4 linked regions of the Notamacropus eugenii genome follow. The protein of the gene in region 2 interacts with the protein of the main gene of each other region in a pairwise test. Links are inferred from orthologs where the notes say so. Each region holds a gene or a part of one and is shown on either strand. Other genes may lie near its edges.

Evidence for each region.
Region 1: the proteins of TRIM32 (region 2) and RABAC1 interact in binary tests that used the Homo sapiens proteins (3 or more experiments, as listed by UniProt). The two-hybrid records come from large-scale screens. The link is inferred for Notamacropus eugenii from reciprocal best matches to the Homo sapiens genes TRIM32 and RABAC1.
Region 3: the proteins of TRIM32 (region 2) and uteroglobin-like interact in binary tests that used the Homo sapiens proteins (3 or more experiments, as listed by UniProt). The two-hybrid records come from large-scale screens. The link is inferred for Notamacropus eugenii from reciprocal best matches to the Homo sapiens genes TRIM32 and SCGB1A1.
Region 4: the proteins of TRIM32 (region 2) and CLIP4 interact in binary tests that used the Homo sapiens proteins (3 or more experiments, as listed by UniProt). The two-hybrid records come from large-scale screens. The link is inferred for Notamacropus eugenii from reciprocal best matches to the Homo sapiens genes TRIM32 and CLIP4.

Annotation. Positions count from the first base shown.
Region 1 is NC_092876.1:25,773,634-25,781,651, reverse strand, and holds the start of RABAC1 (prenylated Rab acceptor protein 1), read left to right. Parts: upstream 1-4,986; 5' UTR 4,987-5,144; intron 5,145-5,246; 5' UTR 5,247-5,267; coding exon 5,268-5,329; intron 5,330-6,049; coding exon 6,050-6,265; intron 6,266-6,928; coding exon 6,929-7,026; intron 7,027-8,018. UniProt on the Homo sapiens protein: General Rab protein regulator required for vesicle formation from the Golgi complex. May control vesicle docking and fusion by mediating the action of Rab GTPases to the SNARE complexes.
Region 2 is NC_092872.1:436,320,028-436,327,415, forward strand, and holds the start of TRIM32 (E3 ubiquitin-protein ligase TRIM32), read left to right. Parts: upstream 1-4,354; 5' UTR 4,355-4,439; intron 4,440-4,496; exon of another isoform or gene 4,497-4,577; intron 4,578-7,388. UniProt on the Homo sapiens protein: E3 ubiquitin ligase that plays a role in various biological processes including neural stem cell differentiation, innate immunity, inflammatory resonse and autophagy.
Region 3 is NC_092873.1:15,569,379-15,576,483, reverse strand, and holds uteroglobin-like, read right to left. Parts: upstream 3,001-7,105; 5' UTR 2,989-3,000; coding exon 2,877-2,988; intron 1,163-2,876; coding exon 975-1,162; intron 637-974; coding exon 613-636; 3' UTR 471-612; downstream 1-470. UniProt on the Homo sapiens protein: Binds phosphatidylcholine, phosphatidylinositol, polychlorinated biphenyls (PCB) and weakly progesterone, potent inhibitor of phospholipase A2.
Region 4 is NC_092872.1:530,826,444-530,833,410, reverse strand, and holds the start of CLIP4 (CAP-Gly domain-containing linker protein 4), read right to left. Parts: upstream 3,025-6,967; 5' UTR 2,950-3,024; intron 1-2,949.

The sequences.
Region 1 (8,018 bases), on a different chromosome or scaffold from region 2:
TTGAACCTCATTTTTTCTATTGTAAAATGAGGTATCAACCTAGATGGCTTTTATAGTTCTGTTGGGGGTGTAAGCTCAGTTCCATGTGGATAGTCTCGGGCGGGTGAAGGTGAGAGCTTCTAAACCTTAGAGTTCTCATGAGGCCCCCCAGGAAACAGCAGGGAATTGAGGAGTGAGATCTCGTGTATTTCCGCCTCTTCCCGTGAGAACGTGATGGGAGAGAGCATCCCCGCCCTCGAGACTGGCCCGGATCTGGGCACACCTATTGTAATCTAACAGGCACGGTATTCAGGTGCAAACTATGCGGCAGGAGAGCTTAAGTAGGGTCAGGAAAGCCCGAAGGCGCTCTTAGCGCTGAGGGGCCCTTACAGGACAGAAGGCCCCTTTTCCTCTCTTCGCTCTTCCCTCCCCCCTCTCTCCCCACTTCCACTTCTGCTTTCATTCTCTTACTGTAAGATCTTTGCCTCCTTGGGAGATTTCTCTCTCTCTCCTAAGGAAGAGTTCCCCCTGCACATGTAACCAGGACCCTGAATAAAGCCTAACCCTTGTTCGACTCCGGAAAGTCTCTTCTCTCATACGTTTATCCGGTTTGGCCAGCCGAAGACCTGCAATAGGTAAGGTAAGACTCGGGTAGCCCTCAGGCCTCTAGGCCTGGCATAGTTCCATATCCTGTGACTCACAACATGTATTGAGTGTCTGAATACTAAGGCTCCGAGGTACCACAGGGGCCACAATGCAATACATGCAGGGGTGTGCTGGGGGCAGCTCGTTCTGGCTCTGACAGCTGATTATTATTTTTTCAGCATGAATACTGACACCTTGGAAATCAGAAAATGCTACAAAGCAGGGCTGGATTCACTGTTTTGTGGATTGTTCAGACTTAAGAAAGTGATGAACAAGACGTTAATGGTGAAGGCTAAATGTAAATGTGTGTTCTGAGTATATTTTTTTCAGTCAGTTGTTCAACATTTATCACCATGCACCCCTGTCAATGGACCAATGCTAAGGCTCCTACAATGTTCCGTTATTATTATTTTGTCAATATATACATCAGATTGCCAGAAATTATGTTTCCAATTATTTCCTGAGGTCCAGGACTACTGCTTCCAAAGCATACCGTGTGTCAGCCATAGCCACCTTCATGTACCTGTGGAGTCCTGGGAAACCAGAGAAGACCTCTCCAGATAGACTGCCAGATCTGGAGTCAGGAAGACTCCTCTTCCTAGCTGTGTGGCCCCGGGCAAGTCATTGCACCCTGTTTGCTTCAGTTTCCTCATCTGTAAAATGAGCTGGAGAAGGAAATGGCAAACTACTCTAAAATCTCTGCCAAGAAAACCCCAAAAGGGTCTATGAAAAACAGGAAATGACTGAAGAACACAGGCCTCTCTTGCCTTTACCCATTTATAAGCACGTGTGTGCTTTACAGTTTGAAATCCTATGACTACCACTCTCCCAAGAGAAGGGATGAGGTTCTTTCCAACTGGAGGAGGAGGAGATTTCTAGTCTCTTTCATTCTTTGGGTTCTCTTCAAGCTTTGGGTCTTTTTGACCTTCTCCATCCCCTTGGGCACTTCTAGTTTCTAGCTTTGATGCCAACCCCACTTCAGGATGAAGGAAAAGCCTTGGGAGAAGCCAGCATAAGAAAGGGAAGTCTCCATTGTGGCCCTGTCCCCACCTTGCCCCACTAGAGACTTTGGGGAGTTTTCCCCATGGTGAGATCTAGGACTCTCTCTCCTTTCAGCTGTTACCCCGCTCCAATGGGAGAGTTCCTTCCCTCTGTACTGTTGGGTGTAGATTCTCCCACATAGACATTCTCTGATGTGATTTTCTATCCACTCGGATAGAGATGGGTCTCTTTGCTACTTCCAGTGTGTGTTCATTGTGGACCTGGCATTTGATGGAAAAGGAGTCAAGTCTTGGATACAAACCTTGGGGTCCCACTCTCCCCCGATAATGAGAGAGCCATCAGAAGTTAGACAGCCCCTGACAATCACATTCCCTAGATGACAAGACTGAAGGAGCAGATAGAGAAGTCCAGCCTGGTACCCTCTCTCCGAGGAGAGCAGAGTGGTCAGCCTCTGGCCTTACCCTCTTGCTTCTCCCCTTATCCTCTCTCCACATCCCCACAAGAATGGGGAGGAAAAGCTAGAGATGCCTATTTTTAGAGCCACCACCCAGACACACTCAGGCTACACGTGGAGGACAGCCCTTGCCACCACACCAGGGCCTCTCCACACTACCCTGGAATCAGTTCGACTACCCTACTCCTAAGGACTACAACTCCCGCAATCCCAACGATCCAAGACCTCGTCCATTTCTTGGACCTCAGTACTACAACTCTAACAATGCCCTCTGCCTGAGGGCTACAACCTACCCTACAGCTCCCACAATTCCAACAACCTAAGGCGTGTCCATTTCTTGGGCCTAAGGACTACAGCTCCCACAATGCCCTGCTCCTTCAGACACTGGAACTACAACTGTCATATTATCCTAGATCCACTTCCCCTTAGTCGTGAGGGCTTATGGAAAACTATGACAAAACTTGGTTGCCCAGAGAAGTTTATCAATATAGTACATCAATTTCATGATGGCATGTTTGCTCGGGTTCTGGATAATGGACAAAGCTCTTGTGCCTTCCCGGTCACTAATGGAGTGAAATAGGACTGTGTGCTTGCTCTCATGCTTTTTGGCATGATGTTTTCAGCCATGTTGACAAATGCTTCCAATGAGGATGAACACGGCATCAAGGTCAACTACCATACTGATGGTAAGTTCTTCAATTTGAAAAGGCTACAAGCCAAGACCAAAGTGGAGGGAATGTTGGTGCATGATTTTCTGTTTGCAGATGACTGTGCACTCAGTGCAGCCTCTGAAGCTGAGATGCAACAAAGTATGGATCAATTCTCTGCTGCCTGTGCTCATTTTGGACTAATAATTAACACCAAGAAAACACAGGTGCTCCATCAGCCACCACCACACCATCCATACATGGAACCATCAATTTCAACAAATGGAGAAGTTTTGAATGTTGTAGATAAGTTCACTTACCTTCGTAATGTACTTTCCAGGGATGTACATAATGACAATGAGGTTGAGGCATGCATTACCAGAGCTAGCTCAGTGTTTGGGAGGCTCCAAAGAAAAGCTTGGGAGAGAAGAGTATTAGACTGACTACCAAACTGAAGGTCTACAGAGCTGTTGTGCTGACTGACCTCATTGTTACAATGCTTGTGAAACATGAACAGTCTACCAGCACCATGCCAGGAAACTGAATCGCTTCCACTTGAACTGTCTTAGGAGGATTCTGAGGATCACCTGGCAGGATAAGGTACCAGATACTGGAGTCCTTGCTCGAGCTGAACTGCCAAGTATTCAAACTACGCTTCAGAGAGCACAACTCTAAGGGGCTGGCTACATTGTTCAAATGCAAAATGTACACTTGCCAAAAAGATTACTTTATGAAGAACTCGCATGAGGCAGGCGATCACATGATGGGCAGAAGAAATGATATAAGGACACTCTCAAGGTCTCTCTCAAGAACTTTGGATTTGATTGTGCAACATGGGAGACACTGGCACAGGACCGCTCAACATGGTGTGCCCACTTAAGAAAAAGTGCTGTGTTCTTTAAGCAAAGCAGAATTGAAACAGCACAAAGTAAATGTAGGATGCTCAAATCTGAGACATCCACCCCAAAATTTACACGGACTATCTGTGCCCAACCTGTGGTAGAGCATTTCGAACTCATATTGGTCTGATCAGCCACAGTCAGACATACTGAAATTTCACTTTATCATAGTGATATCATTTTGGTTCTTTTGAAAGATGAAGGGCAACAACCAAAGATCCACTTCCCCAAAGTCACCTTAAGGATCAGAGTGTGTGTGTGTGTGTGTGTGTGTGTGTGTGTGTGTGTTTGTCCTTCGTTGCCAAAGAAAACCATGCCATAATGACATGACTTGCACTTGACTTTGTTTTGAGTGAAGGAGGGTTGTGCAGGTCACCAGCATCACTTCTCCTCCAGAGCCATCTGAATCCAGTGACCAGATATTCATCAGGATGACTGGAGATGACCCAGGATGAGGCAGTTGGGGCTAAGTGACTTGCCCAAGGTCACACAGCTAGTGAGTGTCAAGTGTCTGAGGTGAGATTTGAACTTAGGTCCTCTTGACTCCTGCACTGGTGCTCTATCCACTGCACCACCCTATACCAATCAGATCAAAGAACGTTCCTTTCTTTGCAGGAACTTTGCATCTATGTTGTTTTAGTATCTGGATAAAAGTGCGAAATTCAAAACCAGTCAGAACATTTCAAAATAGTCAAATGTCTGAATCTGGAAAAAAGTAGGCAAATGAATTGAATTCTTGCAGATTTTTTGCCTTGAGTAGCTACAGATGTTACTTAAAGGTTACTTTGCTATGTGTTTAACTAGTTTGGACATTTATGAATAGTTTTACAATTGAATGTGTTACCCTGATCAGTGACAAGTAGTCGGAAATGGAGTCATCCTTCCTTGGCAACATCAATAAATACCTCTGAAGAGGAATCTTTTCTGGACCCAAAGCCTTCAGAAGATTTTTGGCTATCTAAGACCTACAAAAAAGTCCCAAAATATAATAAGATGTCTTCTATTTTCCTCTTTTAATCATTTTTATGAAGGAGGAATCTAGGGATCCAAAGAAGGAATCGAGGCCAATGAGATCTTCAGTACTCAACTTTCCAATTCCTTGTCATTTCAACTAACTTGGTTAGAACCTAATGAATACCTCCTTTACACTCTCTTTTGCAATTCCTAATCACTTGGTAGCTGTACCTAACTTCCCTCACCAGTTCTCACTAACTGAAACTCCCTCTACCTATGTAAGTTGGCACATTCTCTGTAATTTATAGTCCTAGAGAGTTAGGATCAAAGGACCAGAGAGAGCCCCAAAGAACGCCTACCAAGCCCTCCCCCGCTCCGAACTACAACTCCCATGATGCCTTGCTCCCACGCCTCTCCTTCTGGTAGGCCAGAATCCGGCGCAGAAGAGCCCGAGTTCCCTCCACAGCCCTCGGACTACGACTCCCAGCAGCCTCCTGGCCACGACAAACGGTCCCGCAGCCACTTCAGATCCGGAGGCGGCGGCGGCGGCGGCAGCAGCAGGGGGTGAGTTAGAGGGGCCCGGGCCGGGAGGATGCGGAGGGGCGTGCGCCCGGGGGGGTGCCTCCTGGAGGCAGCAACAAGGCTCTCCCTGCTCTCCCCCCACAGCCGTAGGAGCAGCTGGAGAAGATGGCGGCGGGAAGCGACTTTAACCCCGGGACTGAGGAGGAGAGTCCGGGGCTCAGTGCCAAGTGAGCTGGGACCCCAGGACTGTGGGCCCCCATGCCCCGGCACCCAGGGGTCCGGACCCCCGCCCTCCAGGAACCAAGAATTCAGACGCCCAGTGCCGTCCCTCCCCCAACCCTGCATGAGTCCGGACCCCCATCCTTACCCCCTTATCCAGCGGTCCAGACCCCCATCCCATGCTCTGGGACCCAGGAATTCAGATGCCCAGTCTCACACCTCCTTCCTCAACCCTACAAGAGCTCAGCCCACCCCCTGGGACCCAGAAAGTGCTGTCAGCCCCACCCCAAGACATAGGAATTTGGACCCCCATTCTCACCTCCCAGGCACCTCGCTGTCCCAGCACCCAATATCCTAACCTCCCAAAGTCCTCTCTGGGACCCTGGCGTTCAGACCCCCAGTCCGTGCCCCAGTGGTGGCACTGTCCTCTCTAGCCCTACCTCCTTCTCTGGTGTCCAGATCCCTAGCCGTACCCCGTGGTTCCCTGGGGAACCCTAGTGCCTTGACTAGTGTCCGACTCCTATCGGAGACCCAGCTGTCTTGACTCCTCATGCCCAGCTCCTGGCAGCGGGACTCAGGCATCCTGATGTCCCAGTTCTGCCCCCTTCGGGCATCCTTCTTCCTTCATCCCCTCGACGTGCGCCTCGGGACTCGTGTCCTGGTCCCGCACCTCCTGCTGCACTTTGGGACCTTATCCCCTACCGAGCCACTTTCCTTGTCTGCGCTAGGACACTGCTGCCCAAGTTGATGCCGGCGGGCTCAGCCGGCCGGGAGTGGCTGGAGCAGCGCCGGGCCACCATCAGACCCTGGGGCCCTTTCCTGGACCAGCGGCGCTTCTCGAAGCCTCGAAACCTGGGCGAGCTGTGCCAGCGCCTGGTGCGCAACGTCGAGCATTACCAGAGCAATTACGTCTTCGTCTTCCTGGGCCTCATCCTGTACTGCGTGTGAGCCCCGCTCCTCCCCAAGACCAAGCCACCGGGCCGATACTGGTCCCTAAGATACATACTGGGTGTGAGCCCCGCTGCTCCCCAAGACCTAGCCACCACTGGCCCCTAGAATACATACTGGGTGTGAGCCCCGCTCCTCCCCAAGACCTAGCCACCGGGCCGAAACTAGCCCCTAGGATACATACTGGGTGTGAGCCCGGCTCCTCCCCAAGACCTAGCCACTGGCCGAAACTGGCCCCTAGGATACATACTGGGTGTGAGCCCCGCTGCTCCCCAAGACCTAGCCACCACTGGCCCCTAGAATACATACTGGGTGTGAGCCCCGCTCCTCCCCAAGACCTAGCCACCACTGGTCTGTCAGATACGTACTGGGTATAGGCCCGCCCCGTGGCGCAGACTTAAGGAGAAGCCCCTGGCCCCTGTGACACAGAGGTGCAAACCTGCCTTCAGGAAGCAAACTCGGTTGAGACCCCCACCTCCCCCAGGGCGTAAACTTATTGAGAAGTCTGCTCGATTAGCTGGGAGCCCCGCCCCAAGGCGCCTCCTCTGTAAGCTGTAAACTCCGCCCTCTGGTCAGGGTCCCAGCCTGTGACCCTGGCCCTCCACCAGGCCAGTGCTGTCTCCAGGCAGTCTCTGAGTCTCTACCCACTGCCCCCACAGGGTCTCGTCCCCCATGCTCTTGGTGGCCTTGGCTGTCTTCTTCGGAGCCTGTTACATCCTCTACCTTCGCACCTTGCAGTCCAAGCTGGTCCTCTTTGGTGAGGCTTGCCCCCGCATTCCCCAGGGAGAGGGCATTGGATTTTGAACCCCATCTCTTGTCTCTTTATCCAGAACCTGCCCCAGGGCCTTCTTGGATAAAGGAGGCAGTTGGGCCATAAGGCTCAGAAAGCTGGCCTCCCTGATCCATTGTCCCAGGTGTTCCAATAGCCACACCTAAGCATCCAGCTTCCCTCCCACCCAGGGAATGAGGAGAGGCCTGAAAGGGCCCTTAGGGACCTTCTAGGCCAGAACTCATTACTGGCCAACTCTGAACTGCCCCTCTCCCCTCTGGAATCTTCAGGAGAAGAAAACTGAGGTCTTTGTGCCCAGCCTCGTGCCATCTAGGAATGCTAGATGTAGGGTCAGGAAGACCAGAATTCAAATCCTGCTTCAGACACTTATTACCTCTGACCTGTGACCAGGCTTCTGTAAAATGAGGGGTTACCTCACCCCGTGCTCTCTTTGGCTCTACAGTTCTCTTGTTCAATCCTCCTCCCCAGAGTAGGAGCTCCCCTGCGAAGTCCCCCCCCCCCCCAGGCTGGGGAACCTATCCCTCTCATTGACAGATCAGATCTCTGAGGGAGCTCAATGGCCTTGGGGGCTACCTAGAAGGAGATGCCTGTGACCTGGTCCTTGAAGGACAGATTGTTCCCTGGGCTGTCTGGGAAGACTTCTCTGCAGGGGGGATTATTGCTAATGGACCTTGATGAAACTCCCAGAAGAAAAGAGATTCCCCTTGGGGGAGGGGAGTTGGTGAGGAGTTCCTGGAATTTGGCCTTGAAATACAAGGCAGGGAATAAATTTTTAAAAATCCAAGGAAAAGCTTGGAGAAAAGAGTCCCCTAGGGGCCTCTGGATGGCCTGCCACAAGGGAGGTGGGAAGCACTGTAGGAGAAGGGACTTCTGCCTCTCTGGATGTCTTCCACAGAAGGTAAGGATTGTTATGGTAGGAATTCCTCTTTGTGTATGGACTAGATTAAGGTTCCACCTCG
Region 2 (7,388 bases):
CTTCATTCTACTGCCAGAATAATCTTTCTTATCTGTGGATTAAGTTATGTTACCCACTGATTCAAAGATGTGCTGTGACTTCTTATTAGCTCCTAAATAGAGTTCCGTTTCATTTGTCTTATATTCAACACTTTCTCTAATCTGGTACATCTCCTTCCTTCCAACCTTGATTGATCTTACTTTATGCACCTGTCCTGTACTCCAACTAAAATTTTCTGTTACCCTAATGTACCATGTATTCTTCTGTCTTCTATATCTTGTAGATTACTTAGTCCAACCTATTTGTTTTGTATATGAGGAAATTGAGGTTCTTAGAGAGAGAGCAGCCAATTTCAGGACTCCTGACTCTCAGGGCTCTTCCTTCTACATTTCACTGCCTTAATGGTCTTCAGCCCAGTCTGGACTTCTGCTCATTTCTTGGTACTTCATAATGTGTCCCTCCATCCACCTCTTTACTCACTAAATTTTGACATACTTTAAAATCCAACTTATACTACACTGTACCTCCACTATGAAGCCTTCACCCGTGGATCTCACGTTTGTAATACTTTAGTGCATTTATGCAATATCATATATTAGGTTTATATGTGTTTTACTTTTCTTACTTAATGGTAAGTTTCATGAGGACAGGGACAATGTTTTCTCTAAATTCTATATCTCAGTCCTAGAAGAGTTTTCTCATATAACAGGCACTTAACAAATGTTTATTAAATGAATGAATACTTGTCATCTCTAACAGATTATAAAATCTTTGGAAGCAGGAACTATATATTATACTTCTCCATAATTATGTTGAAATTACAGAGAGCCCTAAGGCAACATAATGAATTCTGATAAATTTTTGTGTGTCCACGATATGCTGCCTGGGAGGCAAGGATTTAGTCAAATGATCCATTTGAAAGCCCTGACCTAAGAATTGGGGACAAAGGGGTTGGAAGAATAGAAAAGATAATTTCACATTAAGGGCAGGGATTGTTTCAACTTTGGTTTCTATTCCCAGTGCCTAACACGGAGCCTGATATGCAATGGGCACTCAATACACACTTGAACTCCCTGAGCTCCCACAGCTAGTAAGTGGTAGAGCAACGTTTTCTTTCAACCCATGAAGTCCTTCCCCTTGGACCACTTGTCATTGATTTTAGAGAAATCAGAGGGTTTGGGGCTAGAAGAGACCTTGGAGATCACTTATTTGGCCTGTTTCAGTCATTTTTCAATCATGTCCAACTCTTTGTGACCTCATTTGAAGTTTTCTTGGTGAAGATACTCAAATGTTTGGTTTATTTTCTTCTCCATTTGGCCTAATCCACTTATTTTATACAAGAAGAAACTTGGGTCAGAGATGTAAATCCATTAGTCCAAGGTCACATAGGTAGTAATAGAGATGGTACTCAAACTCAGGTCCTCTGCCCCACATGCACCAACTGAACTCCTGGGACTCCCGCTCAGGAAGGTGAGCCCTGAAGCTCTTTCTAAGTCAGAGATTCAGATGATATGAGTCAAAACGGGAGGGAAGCATGAGAGAAGCAAGAGAAGAAGCAGAAATTGGGGTAGAATAAAGGCCAAAGTGTCTCCCTAGTACATTCCTACATTCAACACCAGTTGCCACAGGTGCCATAATATCCATGACCCCTTTGGTATTCTCCTGTTACCACCTTACGTAGTCCTCTCAGATCAGTGTCAGGGCCATGTACACTCTGACAGAGTAACTGCAGCCTGCCTTGGAAACCTCACCAGAAACCACAGGCCTATGGCTCCTCAGGGGAAAGCTAATCACTCATCAGTTAAGTGTGTCTCCCTCTTCAGCAAGATGAAGCGTGTTTCAGAGAATGTGATGCCCTAAGTCACTGTGAAAGTGACACCTCCCTTATATCTGCTTGTAACTCAGGCTAACATATTCCCTACTCACGATGGTGCAATGCTGAGTTCCTTGGTATAGGACACACAGGTTCCCTGGAAACACAGTATTTCTGGGGTACCTAACCAGCACAAAACTGTGCTTAACCAGAAAGGTCACTGCTTTAGGGTCAGAAGACCTAGGCTCATAACCTGGCCATCCCCCTTTTTATGGGAGGTTGTACAGGTCATTTCACTTCTCTTGGCCTCACTTTTCCAAACTTCAAAATTAGGGTGTCCAACTTCTGAGTCAAGGGCCTCTGGGGTGGGGCTGTGAAGCTATTTCAAGGGATCCTTGAAGATATGCCCCAAACAGTACAATTTCAATCCTTATTTTGCTCCAACAAAATATTCGGCTAAATGCACAAGTAAATGTACCTTCTATAGACTCAATATCCCTCAGGTTTCCATTTTTCAAATATATATCTATATTATTTATTGTACTTTAATTACTTTTTTATTAGTTCATATTATTTATACAATTTATAGTTTTGCTAGGGTTGGTAATATCAAAATTACTTTAAATAAATTACTGAATTTATAGTAGCACTTTATTATCACGCATATCCTCAGTCAATGAACCCCATGGTACAACTAGTATTGTATGTGGGGAGTTCTCATATTTGAAAAGGTTGGAATCCATTCTTCTAGATGACCTCAAGCCTCTAATCCTAGGCACTGGCTTCTTTGCTATGCATGTAACTGTGGTCCATGTGGTCAAGGGGTCCAAATGATTCTGTGCTCATATGCATGACCTCCTTAGAGTGTGACTTCCTTACAGGATGTGAGAGCTGGAAGGGACCTTAGAACATAGAATAAGGAATGTTAAAACTAAAAGGGATATTAAAACAAGGAAAGGATAGAAAACAAAGTTTTAGAGTTAGGAAGAAAGACAGAAATCATCTAATCCAACCCATTCATTTTGTAGACGAAGAAACTGAGACCAGAAAGGGAAACCCAAAGACAGGTATGCCGACTCCCATTCTAGGGCTCTTCTCACTGTACCACACTGCCGATATTACGGCCCTTAGCCCAATCTCATCCCAAAACCAACTACATAAAAATTCCTGTCAAATTCCATACCTCATATACCTGTATGACCTTGGGCAAACCTGTGGAGTAGAAAGAACCTCTGGAGTTACAGGACCTGAGTTTGAGTCCTAACTTTACCACATACTACCTCTGTGACCTTAAATAAGTCACATAAGATCTCTGGGAAACTGTCTGCTACTTTGTTTCCCTATTTCAGATCTCTTACCGGTTCAGTCCATCCACCACATCTTCCAAGGCAATTTTCATTAAGCTTTGATCTGGAGATGTGATTTCCCCTTATTCAGTCAACTCCAGTGACTTCCTATTGCCTTGAGAATAAACCACAGACTTCTCTGTTTAGTTTTTAAAACCCTATCCAGACTGGCCTCGACCTATCTTTCTTGCCTCTTTGGATATTACTCCTCCTCCCTTACTCTGTAATTCAGATAAAATGGACTTCTTTCACATCTTATTACCCAGGAAATTTTATCTCCCCTCTGTCTCTTTGCACTGGCCATCCATCATGCCTGAAACGTACTTCCTTCTTACCTCTGCTTCAGAGACCTTTCTATTCCTTTATGACATATCTTAGGCATCATCTTTTACATGAAGCCTTTCCTGACTCTACTACCTTGTGTATAATTAACTACTTCATATGTATTTGTATATTTGTATTTTTTAAAAAATAATTTTAGTGGTATCTGATTTTTCACATCACCATAATTTCTCCCAGTATTTCTTTTCCTCTTCCCTCTCAGAAAGGCATCTCATACAACAAACATTTTTAAAAGATTAAAAAAAAAAGAGGACAAAGAGAGAAATAAGAGAAAAATACCCAGCAAAATCAATCAATATATCAAAAAAGTCTCAAAACACATGCAGTGTTCCGCACTGGCAGACCTCCCTCCTCTGCAAAGGAATGGGGTGAGGGGAAGGGGTATCTTCTCACATTTTTTTCAGGGTCTGGTAATTGTAAAATACATAATCCTTCAGCAGAATGTAAGTTCATGCCAAAAAACTGTTTCATTCTTTGCGTACTAGCACCCCTTGCACCTGGCACTGTGTTAGCCGCGTTTAGTAAACACTTGATCGATGTGGGCCTCAGTTTCCCCATCCGTAAATGCCCCTGGGCTCGGATTTGCCCGCTAAGGTCCCTTCCAGCTCTAAATCCTACGGTGGCATGAAGACCTCTCGCTGTCCATGGTCCCCGTCCCTGACACAAGCAGTAACACACCTCTCCAGACGCCTCCTTGCTGCTTAGGCGTCTCCGCAGTCAGGGTCCACACCCCTCTATGCTTCTCTTTTCCCTATCCGACTCCCAGGCCCAGCTCTCTGAGCGGAGAAATAACTACAACTCCCAGACCACCTGGGAGAGAGGGGGGTGGAGCCAACTTCTGATTGACAGGCGACGTGCCGAACCCTCGCGTGCCGCCAGCGGAGAAGCCTGGGCGCGCGTGCGCAGAAAAGTCGTTGGGAAAGGCTGCGTCGGGAGCCGCAGGCGGCCAGGTAGAGAGGTAGGGAAAGGAGGGGCAGGGGGAACGGGGGGTCGGGGGAGTGGGGAGCAGAGGGTGTGTGCCCCCTTCTAGGCAGCGAGCGGGCCTCCGCATTCCGTCCCCTGAACACCCCTCTTGCCTTGTACCGGGAATGAAACGGTGCGGACCTAGGAAACCCCGAGGGGGAGGGGGAAGGACCGGCGAGGGGTGGGGGGCCGGGGGAAGAACCGGGGGAGGGGGACCAGAGGAGACCGCCCCCCCCAGCCTTTGGGTTGGTGCAAGAAGGAGAACAGTACGCGGCGGGTAGGGGGACAACTGGTAATGGAGTTAATGGTGGACACCCTGGGATGGGGATGGGGGGCGGAGGCAGAGGACCCGATCCTGGGCCTGGGGGAAGGAGCCGGTTGAGAAGAATGACCCCGCCAGGACCAGGGTGGAAAGGGGTCCATCCTCCTGGAGTCCTGGGGAAAGCCCTGGGGAAAGGGGGGAGGGGCCCACCCGGGGGCTTTGATGTGTCTAGATTGTGCAAATAGGTCAGTTTGGGTGTGGCAGCCGGTGGGTTGGGGGGCAAGGAGTCAAGGAGCCAGGATGCCCAAGGCTCGCGTCCGTGTGACCCAGAGACGAGTCCGAATGGGGAGGGGAGGGACCACAGACAGCAGGGGGTCTGGAGAGAGGGGTGAGCAGTGCTGTAGAGACGTGGCACACTGGTACCCGAAGTGCCGGTTCTCAGCAGTCAGCCCCGTCATGCCCTTTCCCTGGGGGCAAGCGTCATTCAGCTTAATCTCTCAAATGCACTAAAGCAGGATTTGGGGGGATCATGGTGGAAAGAGTTCAGAAGGGTTGTAGGCTCACAACTCATTGTGTGACCTTGGAAATGCTCTCGTTTGTGGAATTCAGGGGGACGGAGGGTGGGCAAGGTTTGTAAGGAGGTTTTGTCTGATTTACTTTTCTTCCTTGTGTCAAGCACCGGGATGTTCCTGTTGTTATGTTCAGTTCTGCCAGTCATTGGATTCTTTGTCCTAGGCCTGAGATGCTATGAGCCTCAGTTTCCTTCTCTCTAAATTGAAAGGGGATTTCATTAAATGCTTTTTAAAGCCCTTTCTAGCTCTGACATTCTATATTCTAACATTTCATTTTCTAATTCCTCTTATGGCTTTAACATTCCATATTCTATGAACTTGGGTGGTAATAAAGGTATCGTATGGGTCTATATGTCCCTCTGACACCTTGGTTACTTTTACTGAAGAGTCCAGCAAGTTAGAGTTATCATGCAGCATCCTTCTGCAGTACAGAGAACTCACCAGAAGCCAAAGACAGATGGCCTGGAAAGTGATAAAGCAGACTGTGCTGTTGCTTTCTTAGTTGGAATGGGGAAATGGCTGCTCACTGATTGCATTCCCCACGTCAGGGAGAAAATACAAAAGTCTTCAAAGTCCCAGAGTTGGAAGGGACCTCAGAGACTATCTAGTTTAAACCATACCTGAACAAAGATCCCTTCCTCAAGAGACCTCGAAAATAGTCAGATGACCTTTGGATTTGTGAGGCATGACATTTTGAGGGACACTAGTCAAGCTAGCCCAGTGAGGCTAGAAAGAACTGCCCATCATCTTAAGTCCAGAGCCCTGATAACAGAATTGCCTGAAACAGCTAGACAGTGCAGTGGATAGAATGCCTTGACTGGAGTCAGGAAGACTCAGTTCAAATCCATTCTCCAACACTGAATGTCTACATGACCCTAGGCAAGTCACTTAACCTTTGCTTCAGTTTCCTCAACTGTAAAATGAGGCTAATAACAGTAGCTGTGTCCTAAGGTTGTGACAGTATGTGTAAAGTAATTAGCACAGTGCCTAGCATATAGATAATAGGAGTTTAATAAATGTTTGTTCCCTCCCACTAAATTCTAGGTGGTGTAGTACAGAAGGCAGAAAAAGAAAGTAACGTGCCATTATCATTCCTCCTGGTCATTTTAGAGAGTGAATTGGTGGCATTACTCAGCAAACACCAGGGCCAGCTACTGCAGTGATGAGGAAATAATTAACTGTTCTCTTTGAAACACTGCTCAGGTGAAGACACTGAGCCAGAATGTCTTAAGTGACTAGCCCAAGGTCACACATCCACTAAGAGTCTGAGGCCACATTTGAGCTCAGGTCTTCCTGACTCTCTAGGCCCACTGTTCTTATCCAGTATACCCCCCAGCTGCTTAGGCAAGACCCTGCAACCATTTGCAACTTGATTGGATTTTTTTTTTTTAAATTCAGAAATCCTGTAATTCCTTTCCTTGCCGTAAGAGGGAAGTGACCCTGGGCTCTTAAAGGCTATGCCAAGTGAACATAAACTCTGATAGGTGAAACTAGCCTGGAAAAACTTTGAGTACAGCCTCTGGAAAAGATTTTGCATTTCTCATCCAAGAGCCACCCTGGCTAAGTAAAGAGGGGCTCATATCCACAAGGTTGGCTATCTAGTGATTAATATTTTCAGCCACAACTCACATAGTCTAATAATACTAAGAAGCCATACTAAAAGGTTGTTGTGAATCAGAATTATTTATGGCTCTAGGCCTATATCACTTGCCAAAATATGTATTTCCATTACATGTTCCAAGACTCCTTCCTGCCCCTCAAAAGGACAGTTAGGACATGATCACTTACTTCAAGTACCGGGCTGTCTTATGGGGGAGGAAATCGACTTGTTCTTTTCAATGGCTAGAAGTTTCAGAAAGCACATTTGGGCACAATGTCTGGAAGAATTTCCTAACAATTAAGAGTTTTCCCAAAGTATATGACATGCCTCAAGATCATGAATCCACCCTGCTTGGAGGTCTTCACACAGGCTGAATAATAACTTGTCTGGTATGCTATGATGGGGATTCTTTCAAATTCTTAATTTAATTGTTAACATAACAAATACAACCCCTGCTTCCTCACATGCTCAGTTATTCTCAAGTGCCTTACAGAATTCTCCTGTGACTCC
Region 3 (7,105 bases), on a different chromosome or scaffold from region 2:
GTACTGTAGAGGCTCTGGGTTCAAATTTTGACTATGTGTCTCCCAGAAAGCCTTTCTCCTCCTCATATAGGAGTCATGTGGGTTGGGGACATCTCTTTCTCCTTAGTCTTTCCACTTGTTTCCCTGGACCACCCAAGGGAGCAAAAGCACTAGCATTTCCAGTCTCTGGCTTGTGGGTTGTCCCTGTTGTCCCTGATTCTCTTGCCCTGAATGCCTTCCCTGTGGACTTTGGTGGGAGGGACCAGTAAGGTCCTGAGCTCTTGCCTCCCACCCTGCATCTGCGCTCATCCACCCCAAGACAGCTGGAAACACACTCAGGCTCCCCGCTCCACCCCCCCCCCCCCCTTTACTGGGCCACCTGGGATTCCAAAAGCTCTTACTTAACAATTGATCCTATTCCCAGAATGTCCCCTCACCCTTTTCATCCCTGTGTGGATGTGAGTAGACAAATAAGGGTCTGACACACGGACTCAAATGCTTTCAGTTTAATTTGGGGACAAGGACAGAGAGCTGGGCTGGGGAGAGTCCTGGCCTCGAAACCACTGGGAGCCAGCCTTCAGAGATTCGGCATTTGGTGATATCTGGGAAATGAAATAAGCAGGCTTGACGACGTTAGTTTCTGGCCAATATTTTTTCCTGAAAAAATATAAAGCAAAGCGTATGAGATGAGGGGCCTTTGACCAGAGAGCATCTCATATAGCCACTTTCATGTCAGGGAAATTGGCCAAGAAGCCACCTTAGTGACTTTCTGAATTTTTTTAAGTTTTGGAGGCACCTGGGCTGGTGCCCACTGGGGGCATTGTAGATGATGCCTTTCTCCCCTGGGGCCTTTTTTCCTTTCCTGAATGTTTATGTTATTTTGAGAGTTTCACCTAAAGGATGACATAGTGGTCCAGCCTGTGGGGAAATCAAGCTCCAAACAATCAAGGTACGAGGGAAGGAAAGGATAGAAGAACCCAAAGGCCCATATTTACCATCAGCCTCACAATGTCCATTTTGGTCACCTCCGAGAGGGTGTCCACCTTTGCTTTCAGCAGCTTCCCAGCCGCCTCCATGGCCTCATCGGGTTGGAAACACTGAATGGCTTTGAGATACTCCTGGGGCGTGCCCTTGAACAGGATGTTGGCCACTTCTGGGAAAGTAGGGCAGACTTGGGCAGAGGCTGGAGGGGAGATAGAAGAGGGAGGCCTGGGTTTATCAAAGCCATTTTCCAAGCACAGCTGGCCCCCCAAGAGGGACAGCCATGATCCTAGGAGTTAGAGCCTTGAAGGACTTAAAGGGTCAGTCAGTTCTGCCCTTTCCTATGCGACTCAGGCAAGGGAAATGATTTAACAAAGGTCACACCAGGAATTAATGCCCCAAATGAATATGCGCCAAGACTACAAACTTGGTTCTTTGTCTATGTCCTCTATCCATTGTTGCCTCCAGACAGGCATTTTGACTTCATGGACTCACGGATTCATATTTGATGCTGATAATATCATTCATAACGATAATGATAGCTCAATTAATCAATCAATTAATCAACAAACTAATACCATTTATGAATTCCAGTGGAGGAAGCTAGGTTAGAGCCCTGAAGCTGGAGTCAGGAAGACTGGAATTCAAATCTAACCTCAGATACAAGTTGTGTGACTTTGGGCAAGTCATTTAGCCTTTGTTTGCCTCAGTTTCCTCAAGTGTAAAATGGGAATAAAAACAGAACCTACCTCACAGGAGGATCAAATGAGATAATATTTGTGAAGTGCTTAGCATAGTGCCCAGAACATAAAAGACGTTTCTTCATCCTATTAAGTGCCAGGTACTATACTGGATGTTGGACATAGCCTCCAGTCTTCAAGTATTGCAAAATACTTTCTATGGCTATGTATATATTAGTAAATATATGTTTATATATAATATATATTCATACATATGTGTATGCATATTTAAATACAATATACAAATATAATAAAATATAATATAAAAGTGTAATCTATGTGTATGTAAGAGCCTGTCTGAACTTCAGTTATTTCCTCTTTACATTGGGCGTGAGAACAGCACTTATCTCCTATTTTCCTATGATAATGAATAGAGAACCCTGTCTGACCCTTCCAACTCTATCTAACCATCATCTCTCAGAGTTCTGGACCTAGAACCAGGAAGGCTTGGGCTCCAATTCTGTCTCTTACACTTACTAGGCTTGTGATTATGGGCTAGTAATCTGACTTCTTCGAACCTTTAGAACCCATCTGCCAAATTAACTGCGCTCTGTGCTGGTAGACACCGAGAAAGTCACGAATCCTCGATGGTGCAATGGTAAGAGTCCTGGACTCGGGCAAAAGACTCTAGTCTCAACTCTGACACTTCCTGGCTACCAGATCTTGGGCAAGTCAGATTGAAAGGTGGAAAGAACCTTTTAGGTCATTGAGTTCTCGGGGCCCTCATTCTACAGATGAGGAGAAAGAGACCCAGAGAAATGAAAGGATTTGCCTAAAGTCTCCCTGTACCAAATGGTAAGGCTTGAAATCAAGCTGAGGCCATGTTGTTTCATCGTTCTGTACCTCAGTTTCCTCATCTGCAATGAAAATGTTGACATGCTAATCTTTACACTTTCCACATTATTGTGGAGTGAAAGGAAGACATGGTCTACTTTAGTGGTTTTTGGTCTCAGGACACTTTTATACTCAGCGAGAACTCCCCCAGAGAGCTTTGAGTGGGTTATCTATCAATATTTACTGTGTTACAATTCAGAACATTTTATAATTTTTATGAATTATGAATTTTGACCTTTCCAACCCCCTGAAAGAGTCTTGGGGGTTCCTGGGGGTCCCTACACTTTACCAAGAGAGCTGCGGATCTACACCTTCTCCTGCCTCAAGCCTGTACGTACTCACCCCAGTGGCAGCAGAGGGCCAGGGCAACCAGACTGCAAACAATGATCAGCTTCATGGTGGAGCCGGGTTGGTCAGTCTGTGTCTGGAGAGGTGGTGGAGGTACTGTCAACATAACCCACCAAGGATTCGCTCTTATGTCCTGTGGGGAGCTCCTGGACCATCCCCTTGGGTGGAGGAGGGGAGAGGAGGGGTTCTACTGCAATATTTACTCAGATCTTAGGTGAAAAGTGTAAACATTCTGCCTGTTGTTGAACTTCTCTTTCCCATGGAAAAAGGTCCTACGTAATGTGACATTTTAGAGACTACTCAAGAGCTTCTTTGTTCTGGTGGCCACAGGGTGCTTGGCAAGGCATGGTCTCATTCTAGTTGGACCAAAAGCTGGTGAAAGATGGAAGGGACTGTGAAAAGGACCTCAGAATGTCAACACACATGTAACCTATATCACATTGCTTGGGGGGAGAGTACGGAGGGACAATTTAGAACTCAAAATTCAAAGAAAAGAATATTAAAATTGTTGTTACATGTAATTGGAAAAAATAAAATATTAATTTAAAAAAACAAATGAAGAATGTCAGAGCTGGAAGGGACATTAGAATATGGAATGGCCGAGCTAAGAGACTACTTAGAATATGGTGAGAACCCAGAATGTCATGGTCAGGAGACACCTTAGAATATGGAAAGTCAAAGCTAGAAGGTGTCTAGGGTGTCAGAGCTAGAAGACATGGAAAGAATCTTATGACACAAAATAGAGACTTCCAGAGATAGGAGAATTATGACTTTGGGACATAGAATGAGAGAACTGAAAAGAGCAGATCTTAGCATGAAATATCCATAGTATGTCAGAGCTGAGAGAGACCTTAGAAGACAACTAGGAGGATGGGAGCTTGTGTTTTAGAACAAAACATCAAACTGGAACAGAGGGACCTTAGCACATAGAACATAGAATGTCAGAGCTGGGAGAGACTTTAGAATATCAGAACTGGAAGAGTCTTTAGAACCCAGAATCCAAACTATCTAAGTTAGGAAGGCTGATAAAGATCACCTAGTTAGCAGCTTCTGCCCCTAGCCATTTTACAGATGAAAAACTGAGGTTAATAGAAGAAAAGGAATTTGCACAAGGTCACACAACTCATTGGTTGCAGAGCTGGGGCAGGAATCCTGGCCTCCTGACTCTCGAATCAAATCAAAGTATTTATGAAGCACCTACTATGTGCAGGCACAGTGCTAAGTGCAGAGCATGCAAAGAAAGACAAAGTTAATCCTTGCTCTAGGCCAAGGCTCCTTCTTCAGACTATAATGATTCCAGAGGAGGTGGCCTCTAAACAGGAATGCTGAGACCCTTGGCACAGAGGGAGAGCCTGTGCTTCCAAGTGGCTGAATCCAATCTGAAATCCATCCTGATCCTCAGGAAGTCCAAACCCACTCCATTATCTCAGGCTGAGCCATCACCTTCTCCTGTAAGCAGCTGCTACTGAGATTTGGTCTTGGGGAAAGAATGCTAGACCAGGTCAAATCAGGAAACTTGAGTCCTGGCTTTGGTGGATCTTCCTAGTGATGTAATGTTGGAAATTAGCTGAGTTTGCCTTGCAGTCTCCATCCTCTGTAAAATGGGGACAATCGCACTTTCATAGTCTCCTCTTTCACCATGAGTTCTTCTTGGAAGATACTTTATAAACACTAAAGTGCTATCCAGATGGGAGTTATTATTAGTGGCGTCCTCAGCATACTGCAGGGCAGGTGGGGTAGTGAAAAGAATTCCAACTCAGGAGTCAAAGGGCCTGGGTTCAAATCTCTGCTTGGCCACTTTCTCCCTCTGTGACAAGTCGCTTTTTTTCTTGGTCTTGATTTTCTCCTTTGTAAAAAATAGGGGGGTGGGGGGAGGGAGGAATGATCACAAAGGTCCCTGATCCTCTGTTTGTACTGTAACAGGCTGGAGACAAAAAGGCCTGCCCCTGGGAAGGGCCTCCTGAAAAGAAAATTCATCTTTTGGAAAAGAATTTGCTTGTAGTGGAGGCTGCAGCTGAATGCCAGTTCTCGCTATGCCATCTCCGGGACTTTGGGATTCCTCCTGCCTGGTCTCTTTTCTTGTGCTCTTGCTCTTACACTACTTCCCCCTGTTTCTACTAGCAATGCCCCAACATCCCTCTCATCCATCTGTGATGACACTGAACTTCTCAGAAAGGTTGGAAATAGAGGCAAGAGGAGGCAAGGGTCTGTGTAATGTAGCCATGTTTCTTCTCCTAATGCCAAGTCCAGTGCTCTAACCACTGCATCATTCTGCCTTTATCGGACAAGGGGCAGCACTCAAGACCTATGGCCCAACCTCATGTGGTTGGACAGCCTGCTCTTTTCCTTCATTCCTCTCCTACCTTCTCTGTAAACTAAGGGGATTGGACTAACTCTTTAAAGGCCATCTCCAGTGCCATATCTATGATGTAAGTTGCTGGCTGACCAGAGAGGATTCCCCTGGTTTGTTACCAGCTTGTCATATCAACAGGAATCATAGCTGATCTTTATAATGTGCTTTGTGATTTCCCAAGTTCCCTGCATGCACTGGCTCACATCCTGTGGCCAATAGCTCCATGAGAAAGGTTAGGTTAGATAAGGAGACTGCTCTCTTCCTCAAGATTCAGAGAAAGTAAGCCACTAGGGACAGTTCATGGAACAGAATCCAAATGGTCTGACTCCAGTCCCAGACTCCTGGGGCACTTTGGGACTCTGGAGCGTGCCTGATCTTTATGTGAAAAGTCTTCCCTCTGATGGGGAGGGGATCCTTTCCCCTGGAGACGGGAGAGGTTCTCTGACAAACTGATGCTAAGGAAAAAGTTGATTCAAAGCCTAGGTCCCCTCTTCCCCCTTACAGTGAATCAGGGAAGGGTCAATGACATCTTCATGATCTTTTGGAATGGGAAAAGGGGCCTGGATTTCACTGGAGGTGGGGAGGTGAGGAAAGCTAGCTGATTCTGCTGGCTTTTGCAAATGGGCTGAGGCATAGAAGCAGACCAGACCATTCTTGATCAGGGGCCTGGGATTGGGACCAGTGGTATCCTGGTGAGCTCTGGAGGCCAGATTACAGATGAGTCTTTATGGGCTGGATGCTAACCTCATTTGCTTCTAAATGACCCCTGGCATTTCCTTTGCCTGGCTGTATTAATATCGGAAATTAGAGGGAAGGAAGACAGCACATTGGAGAGAATGCTGTCTGTGGAGGCGGAGGACCCGGGTGCACATATAGTTCTTGTTCAACCCTCTGTGGCCAAACAGAGCAAAGTGAGCCCCTTCTCCCTCTGATCCCCATGGCTGGTCCTGGCTAAATTTCCTGAGTTCTTTTAGATAGAAGCCTCTGTTCTCCTCTTATCATCTTGGTCACCATCAGTCACTCCTTTGGCTCATCAAAGTCCTTCCTCAAGTGTGGAACCTCTCTTGACCAGGGCAGAGGAGGGCAGAACTATTACAAGAGTCATATTTTGTCCTTAATTAAGTTTATTGTTCTCCACTCAAACTCCCCCCAACAAGACTCATCCTAATTGGGGATGCTCAACTTCTCTCAATGCTACTTAATCTCAAATGAACTTTCATAGGCTATTGGGATCATAGATTTAGAGCTTGAAGGGGCTTTAGAGGCCAATGTCTTTGTTTTGCAGAAGGGAAAACTGAGCCTCAGAGAGATTAAGTGACTTTTCAAGATCACGAAGGGTTTGAATCTACGTCCTCTGACTCCAAATCATTGTATCAGTCATGCTGCCTCCCAAGTTTTCTTGGTTGCCATATTCTTGCTTTGATTTTATACCTGATACCAGTGCCAGCTCATATCAAGTTAATGATCCACTAAGCCCCCTAGATATTTTTCAAGAAACCTGCTATCTAGCCACACTTGGAACATAAGTGCTTGGGTACTTTGAATCCAAGTGGAGGACTTTACATTTGGAATATAAATAGAATGTTCCAGATCATGATAAATGGAATGTGTGCAATTGTAAGTTTTGTAAATGCCTGTTGAGTAAACCAAATAATGAATGAGTGAATGAATTCATCCTTTAGTCAGAGACGTCCAGTTTCTAGATCCCCATGGGGCTTGAATTCTTTACTTAGTTCTAGCACAAATAGGGGAGGGGGCAAAGGAAGGGTTGGAACTTAATCTCCCCCAGTGCAGATTTGGGAAAAATAATCTATCTCCCCAGGGAATGGTAACCTTCTCCTCAAGACCCTAGCATTCTTCATCGAATTCA
Region 4 (6,967 bases), about 95 Mb from region 2:
TCGCATCTATTGTAACTGGCCTTTCTCTGTTTTCTGACTGTCAATGCCTTCCCTTGAAATTAGTTTCCAATTATACTGAATCTATTTTGCATGGTGATAGTTGTTTGTATGTCACCTCCCCCATTAGAAAATAAACTCCTTGAAGGCAGAGACCAGAGTTTTGACTTTTTTTTTTCTGGTATCTCCAATGCTTAGCACCTTGCTTGGCATAAAACCAATGCTTAATAAATGTCTGTTGACTCACTCACTGACTAACATGTTTCAGTTAATGAGAACGTCTTTAATCAAAGCAAAATGTCTTACTTTAAACAAATGATTTTATTTGGCAGCAGAAGTATAATTAGGATCATAATTAACGATTCACTCATTATTCTTCCTTGCTTTAGACTTCAGTCATTGTTGTCTTTTGTCTTGAAGTACATATTGTACTCTCACCCACAGGGTACGTGAGTGTGCATACAGATGTACGTTACTGTTAAGATCAGGCTTTGGCTAATGTATGTAGCTAGGGAAACCAATTAGAAAATTTATGAATTATATTTTGGTTTTACTTTCAGTCTTAAGGCTAATTGTTGAAAAGAGAGATTCTGAATTAGCTTTATTTTGCTTTTTAAATTGATAATTGTGATTTCATTGGTTTAAGGAGATCCCAGGTATTCGAGACAGAAGCTGTCTTTACAAATTCAAGTTGGCATATTCATTGACACCTAGAATTTTATTTTTTTATTAATTTATTCGTTTTCAGTTTTTTATAATCACTTCCATATAGCTTAGATTTTCCACCTTCCTCCCCCACTTTGCCCCCCTCCCTCTTCACTCCCTCCCTCCCTGATACGGCATGCTATCTTATATATGTTCTACACGTACATTCTTATTAAATACATTTTCACTTTAGTCATGTTGAATAGAAGAATTGAAATGAATAGGAGAAACCATAAAACAAAACATAACATAACACAGGAGAAAATGGTCTGCTTCATTCTGCAATCCAATTCCATAGTTCTTTCTCCAGATGTGGAAGCCATTTTGCCTCAAGAGTCCACTGGGAATTTTTTAGATCCTTGCATTGCTGCAAAGGGCTAAATCTACCAGAAAAATTCCTCACACACTTTGGTTGTTGTTGTGTACAAAGTTCTCCTGGTTCTGCTCCTTTCACTCAACATCAGTTCATATAAGTCCTTCCAAGTCTCTCTGAAGTCTTCCTATTCATCATTTCTTATAGTACAATAGTGTTCCATTACATTCATATGCCACAATTTATTCAGCCATTCCCCAATTGATGGGCATCCCATTGATTTCCAGTTTTTGGCCATCACAAAGAGAGCTGCTATAAATATTATTGTACATGTGGGACCCTTTCCCATTTTTAGGATCTCTTGGGGATACAGTCCTAGAAGCACTATTGCTGGGTCATAGGGTATGCACATTTTTGTAGCTCTTTGGGCATAGTTCCAAATTGCTCTCCAGAATGGTTGGATCAGCTCACAGCTCCACCAACAATGACTTAGTGTTCCAATTCTCCCACATCTTCTCCAACATTTATCATCTTCCTGTTTTGTCATGTTAGCCAATCTGAAAGGTGTGATGTGGTACCTCAGAGTTGTTTTGATTTGCATCTCTCTTATCAATAGTGATTTAGAGAATTTTTTCATATGACTATAGGCAGCTTTAATTCCTTCCTCTGAAAATTCCCTGTTGATATCCTTTGACCATTTATCAATTGGAAATGACTTGTATTCTTGTACATTTGACTCAGTTCTCTATATATTTTAGAAATGAGGCCTTTATCACAGACACTGTTGCAACCTAGAATTTTAAAGAGTTGCCTAGAGCAGAGGTTGTTTTATTTTTCAATCGTGTCTGACTCTTTATAACCCCTTTTGGGATTTTCTTGGCAAGGATATTGGAGTGGTTTGCCGTTTCCGTCTCCAGCTAATTTTAAAGATGAGGAAACTGAGGCAAACAGGATTAAACAACTTGTCCAGGACCACATAGCTAGCCTGAGATCAGATTTGAACTCAGGTCTTTCTGATCCAGACCTGGTATTCTATGCACTGTGTCACCTAGCTATACCAAACTCAAATTGAAAAGGAGTTCACTAAACCATATATAACGTTCTTTGCAGACAGCATATTGACTGGGAAAACCATAGATGCATATTATCTATAGTCTATTGTGTTTTTATTTATTTCATTAAATATTTCCCAATTTTTCCCATTTTAAACTGGATTTGGCTTCTGTTTCACCCTTCTGGCCTAGAGCACTGGGATACTTAGTAATGTGACTAAACATAGTATATACCAGAGGCTAAACTTGAATCTAGGTCTTCATAGCTCTGAGGTCAGCTCTCTATTTATCATACCACACTGCTTCCCTTTTAAAATCTATAATAAACGCAAATTTGTCAAATTCAAACATACTCATGAAATACAAACATGCTTGTATTTACCAAGTCCTGAAGACAATACAATATTTTAATTAAACCAAAAATCTCAAATTACCCAAGGAATAGAAATATAGGAAGAAATTCAATTTAGAAGCTTGTTAACTAGTCCTTTCTCTTATAAAATATCAGCTAGGATACATTATTAAGGGCACCACACAAACATATCGCCATCCTTCTTATTCTGACTGTGACTGTTAATTGCACATCTAATTAAAATTCCAGTGGGCATCAAACTAATCTGTCAGTATTGAACACACTAAATTTTAGCTAGTTCTATAGGTCTCTGTTTCTGATTGCTATACTTTAGACCCTCATCTTCATTCCAATGTTAGCTTATTCTGTATCAATGGAGCTATTTTGTGATGATCATCACTTCAGTCCTGAAAACAACAAATATTCTTCAAGAATTCAAGGTTGATATAGAGTGTAAGCTCCCTTGAGGGCCAGAACTATCTCACTTTTATATTTATAATCCCTGGCACCCAGCATACCCATGATCATACCTGGCATAAGGGAGGCCAGGTTTGCCAGCTGTTTCCCTGATGATATTATCTTGTCTTTGAACATCTGGCTCTTGGTTGAAGCCAATGGAACTCAAGGAAGCCATTGTTACATTTGCATCCCGCCTCACAATCCCATCCAAGTTTCCACTTCACAGATATTAAAATGACCTTCATTTTAATCCAGGACTCAGTGCTGTAGAGGAGTCATTTTCAGCATGACAAGACAAGAGAACTCTTTCCAGTCAACTAGTTCAGACATGAAACAAACTATGGTGGAAATCGTTAACCTCCATACATTTATAATTCTATATCAGACGTTCACCAAATGTGACTCTGACATTGACCGTGTGAACCGAGTCATGTCACCTTTCTTACTCTCAGTTTCCTCATCTGTAAAAATGTGAGGATAATAACATTTAGGCTACCTACCTCACATGGGGTAATTTAGGAAACTAAGATGTAAAATTTTAAAGAACTGTATGTAGTAATGAACCTTTATTATTATCATGGTTACTTTTATTACTGTGGAGACAACATGATTTGACTTCTAGTACGGTTGAATTTGGATAACAAGAAGTTGTATTATAATAAGATTTCATTGTAACTGTGGTTCATTATTTAAATTGAAGACTGCTATAATGCATGAGCCTTTTTTTTTCATTATTAGAGCTCAAATTAATCCATCAATCATGCTTTTATTAAATGTTTAATCTGGGTCTACTATGTGCTTACTATGTTCAGATACGATGAATATCATTGCAGCAAAAATCTTAGAAAGAGTAGCGATATTTCCAAGCCCAAGTGAAATTATTTCTACCCATATTCCATAAATAACAATAGAAATACAATGGAAGCATGTGGGCAGTTTCTTGGAATTCATTATAACAAATCTACCCTATTTTGTCATGTCAAATGACGAATCATTCAGTAATCATTTAAGCATCTGTCTGTGGATATATAAAGATCTAGAAGACAAGGTATTTGCTGCCCTCAAGGAGTTTAGTACTTAGAGGGTATAAGAAATATATGTTTGTCTTTCATTGCTGAAGAAGACCATGCCATCAGAGAAATGATGACATGATTTGCACTTGACTTTGCTTTTTCTGAGTGAGTGAGGGCTGTGCAGGTCACCAGTCTCACTTCTCCTCCAGACACCAAATATTCATCAGGATGACTGGAGATGACCCAGGATGAGGCAATTGGGCTTAAGTGACTTGCCCAAGGTCAAACAGCTAGTGAGTGTCAAGTGTATGAGGTGAGATTTGAACTCAGGTCCTCCTGACTCCTGCACTGGTGCTCTATCCACTACACCACCTAGCTGCCCCAGGGTATAAGAAATAGATTTAGAGGGAGGACCAAGGGTCAAATCCCAGCTTTGCTGCTTCTTAGGCTCAATGGTACAACTTTGAAAACATCATTTCATGTTTCTTTGACTCTGTTTCCCTATCTATAAAATGGAGTTGAATTGATGACTTCTAATGCCCTTTCCAGCTTGAAATCTGTGGTCTTATTATCTTATGATCTATGAATATAGTGATTTTCACTGGGAGAAAGGAAGTTATTGGGGGATTTTTAACAAGTTAGAAGTGTCTTAAAATTTTGTCTGGAAGGGACAATGATTCACTTACACTGGTGTCACATACTTGTGTTATTGGGACTTTAGAAGTCTTTATTTTGTATCACCCCTACAAAAAGCTGTTGATCTGCATTGGTGGAAGGAATTTCCTCGCCTGGGAATTCTCTATAACAATTAAATCACAGGCTCAATCGCTTTTCCTGTCCTTTTACTCATGGGCTTGCCAGAACAGTAGCTCACAAAAGTCAATTGTTAAACTTTCAGCGTGAGCTCTTTTAACTCAGACACCAGTAAACCCTACAAATCATGGCTTGATTTATTGTTTTCTTCATTGTCTAGACCAGAAGTTTTAAACTGCATGCTGCTCACAACCCTCCCAAGTACAGCCCCAACCAGATTAAAATGGAATTTACAATGTCATTGTTATAGAAATTGTTCTTCTGGTTCTATTAGGTTTCATTCTTCGTCACCCCAACTTGATAGTCATATCCAACTTCCTGGCCCTTTAGGAACTTCTGATTTTGTCTTCCCAACTTATTTTACTCACCTATTCTCACTTTTTACTGACCTATTCTTCCCTTTATGTTATTGTTTATCCTTTTTATTACCTCATTATTTTTATTATTGTTATTTTTATTCCCTTACCGTCTTGTTTATACTGCTCTTGCCTGCAGATTTAGCCTTTCTCCTTGCTGAATTTTATTCTCTTTCAACTTTCCTTCAAGTTCTCCCCAGATCAATCTCTAAACAACTGCCCGTTTCTAAGACCCTCTAAGTTACCTCCCTGATGTCCTTAACTTTCTTATTCAGCTCAAATCCTTCTCTTTTGTCTCTTCTGCTACACAATCTTCTCCTCCAAAAGCCAGGAGGATGATTCTAAATAAACATTTTCACAATTCTAGAAATATTTGATTCAATCAATCAAATGACCAATCAAGAAGCTTTTATCAAGTGCCATTTACCATGTCCCAGGTGCTGGGTACTGGGGATACAAAGACAAAAATGAAAAAATCTCTGGTTTTGAGGAACTCACATCCTATTTATATGTATATAAACACCTTCAAAATATATACAAAATTAACACAAGGCAAACTGAAGTCACCATAACTCTCCTGACAGATCTCATTTCCCAATGGACCAACCACACAGGATAGGCACTGTCAGCTGAACCAATGCTGTATCCTTGCTGAGTATCCTTTTTGTGCTAAATGGCAGCTAGGTGGCTCAGGTAGGTTGAGAGAGCTGAGCCTGGGGTGAGAAAAATTTGAGTTCAAATATGTCCTTAGACATTTGCTAACTGTATGACCCTGGGCAAGTCATCTACCTCAAGTGCCTCACCTGTAAAATGGGGCTAATAATAGTACGTACCTCCCAGGATTGTTGTGAGGAACAAACAAAATTATATTGGTAAAGTGTTTACGCAGTGTCTAACATATAAGAGGTACTTAATAAATGCCTGTTCCCTTTACACATCTCTTCCATGCTATTGTTAAATAGAATCCTTTTAATAAAGATTATATGGTCTGCAATTATGTCATTTCATTCTAATCCTAAACCTGAGCCCCTAGATTGACTCTCAATAGTTCTGGCCAAGAATATTTAGGATGTTTGGCAGGACTGGAATACAATAACCTCAGGACTGATTCTGGGAAAGGAAGATGGAGAGATAACAGCACCAGATGATCGCTGATACGAGAGCCTGGCACCCTATGGTCCTGTGCTTCAGGACTCACATGCCACATCCTGCTGAGGATTCTAAAAAAAAAAGCTGGATTATCAGCATAAGGAAAATGAAAGTAAACTGACCCTCTGTATTAAACAACTAGCAGTAGATAGGAATTTATTCTAGATCTTTAAGAACCATGCACTGAGGTCAGAGGGGCAACTCATAGACTTAGTCATTTATTGAGTTTCCATTGTATTTAGGAGTGATTGTCATTTCTAGCCCACTAGCTATGGCAAGCTTGGGTCTTCCCCTTACTAAAGGCTCTTATGCTTGAGATTGTCTGAGTCCTAAATGGACTACTTGGGACTCTTTCAATGGATTTAGAAGACCATTTCATGTGGATGTTGAAACTCTCTAGCATTCCTGGAGAAGGTAGTTAGAAGGTTAGAAGGCTCAAGCCTCCCTCAGTACTCCAGAGAACTTTTCAAAACTGGGGACGTGGACAAATGTGCCAAATGAGGTATATCTGATTTCCTGAGGAGACCAAGTATTTAAAAGGGATAAGCTGCATCAGTTTAAAAGAAAAGGCAGCTTCCGTTCTTGTTCTAATATCCATGCAATGCGATTCTCTCTTTTTGGACTTCCCATGAGGGGATGGGAGAAGGTCCCTTTCCCCAACCCTTGGCAGGTATAGAAGTATTACAATCATGAGCTGTTAAAATAAACTTGAACCTGGTCCTAGGGCCTCTGGTAGCCTCTTCTGCTTTGTTTTTCTT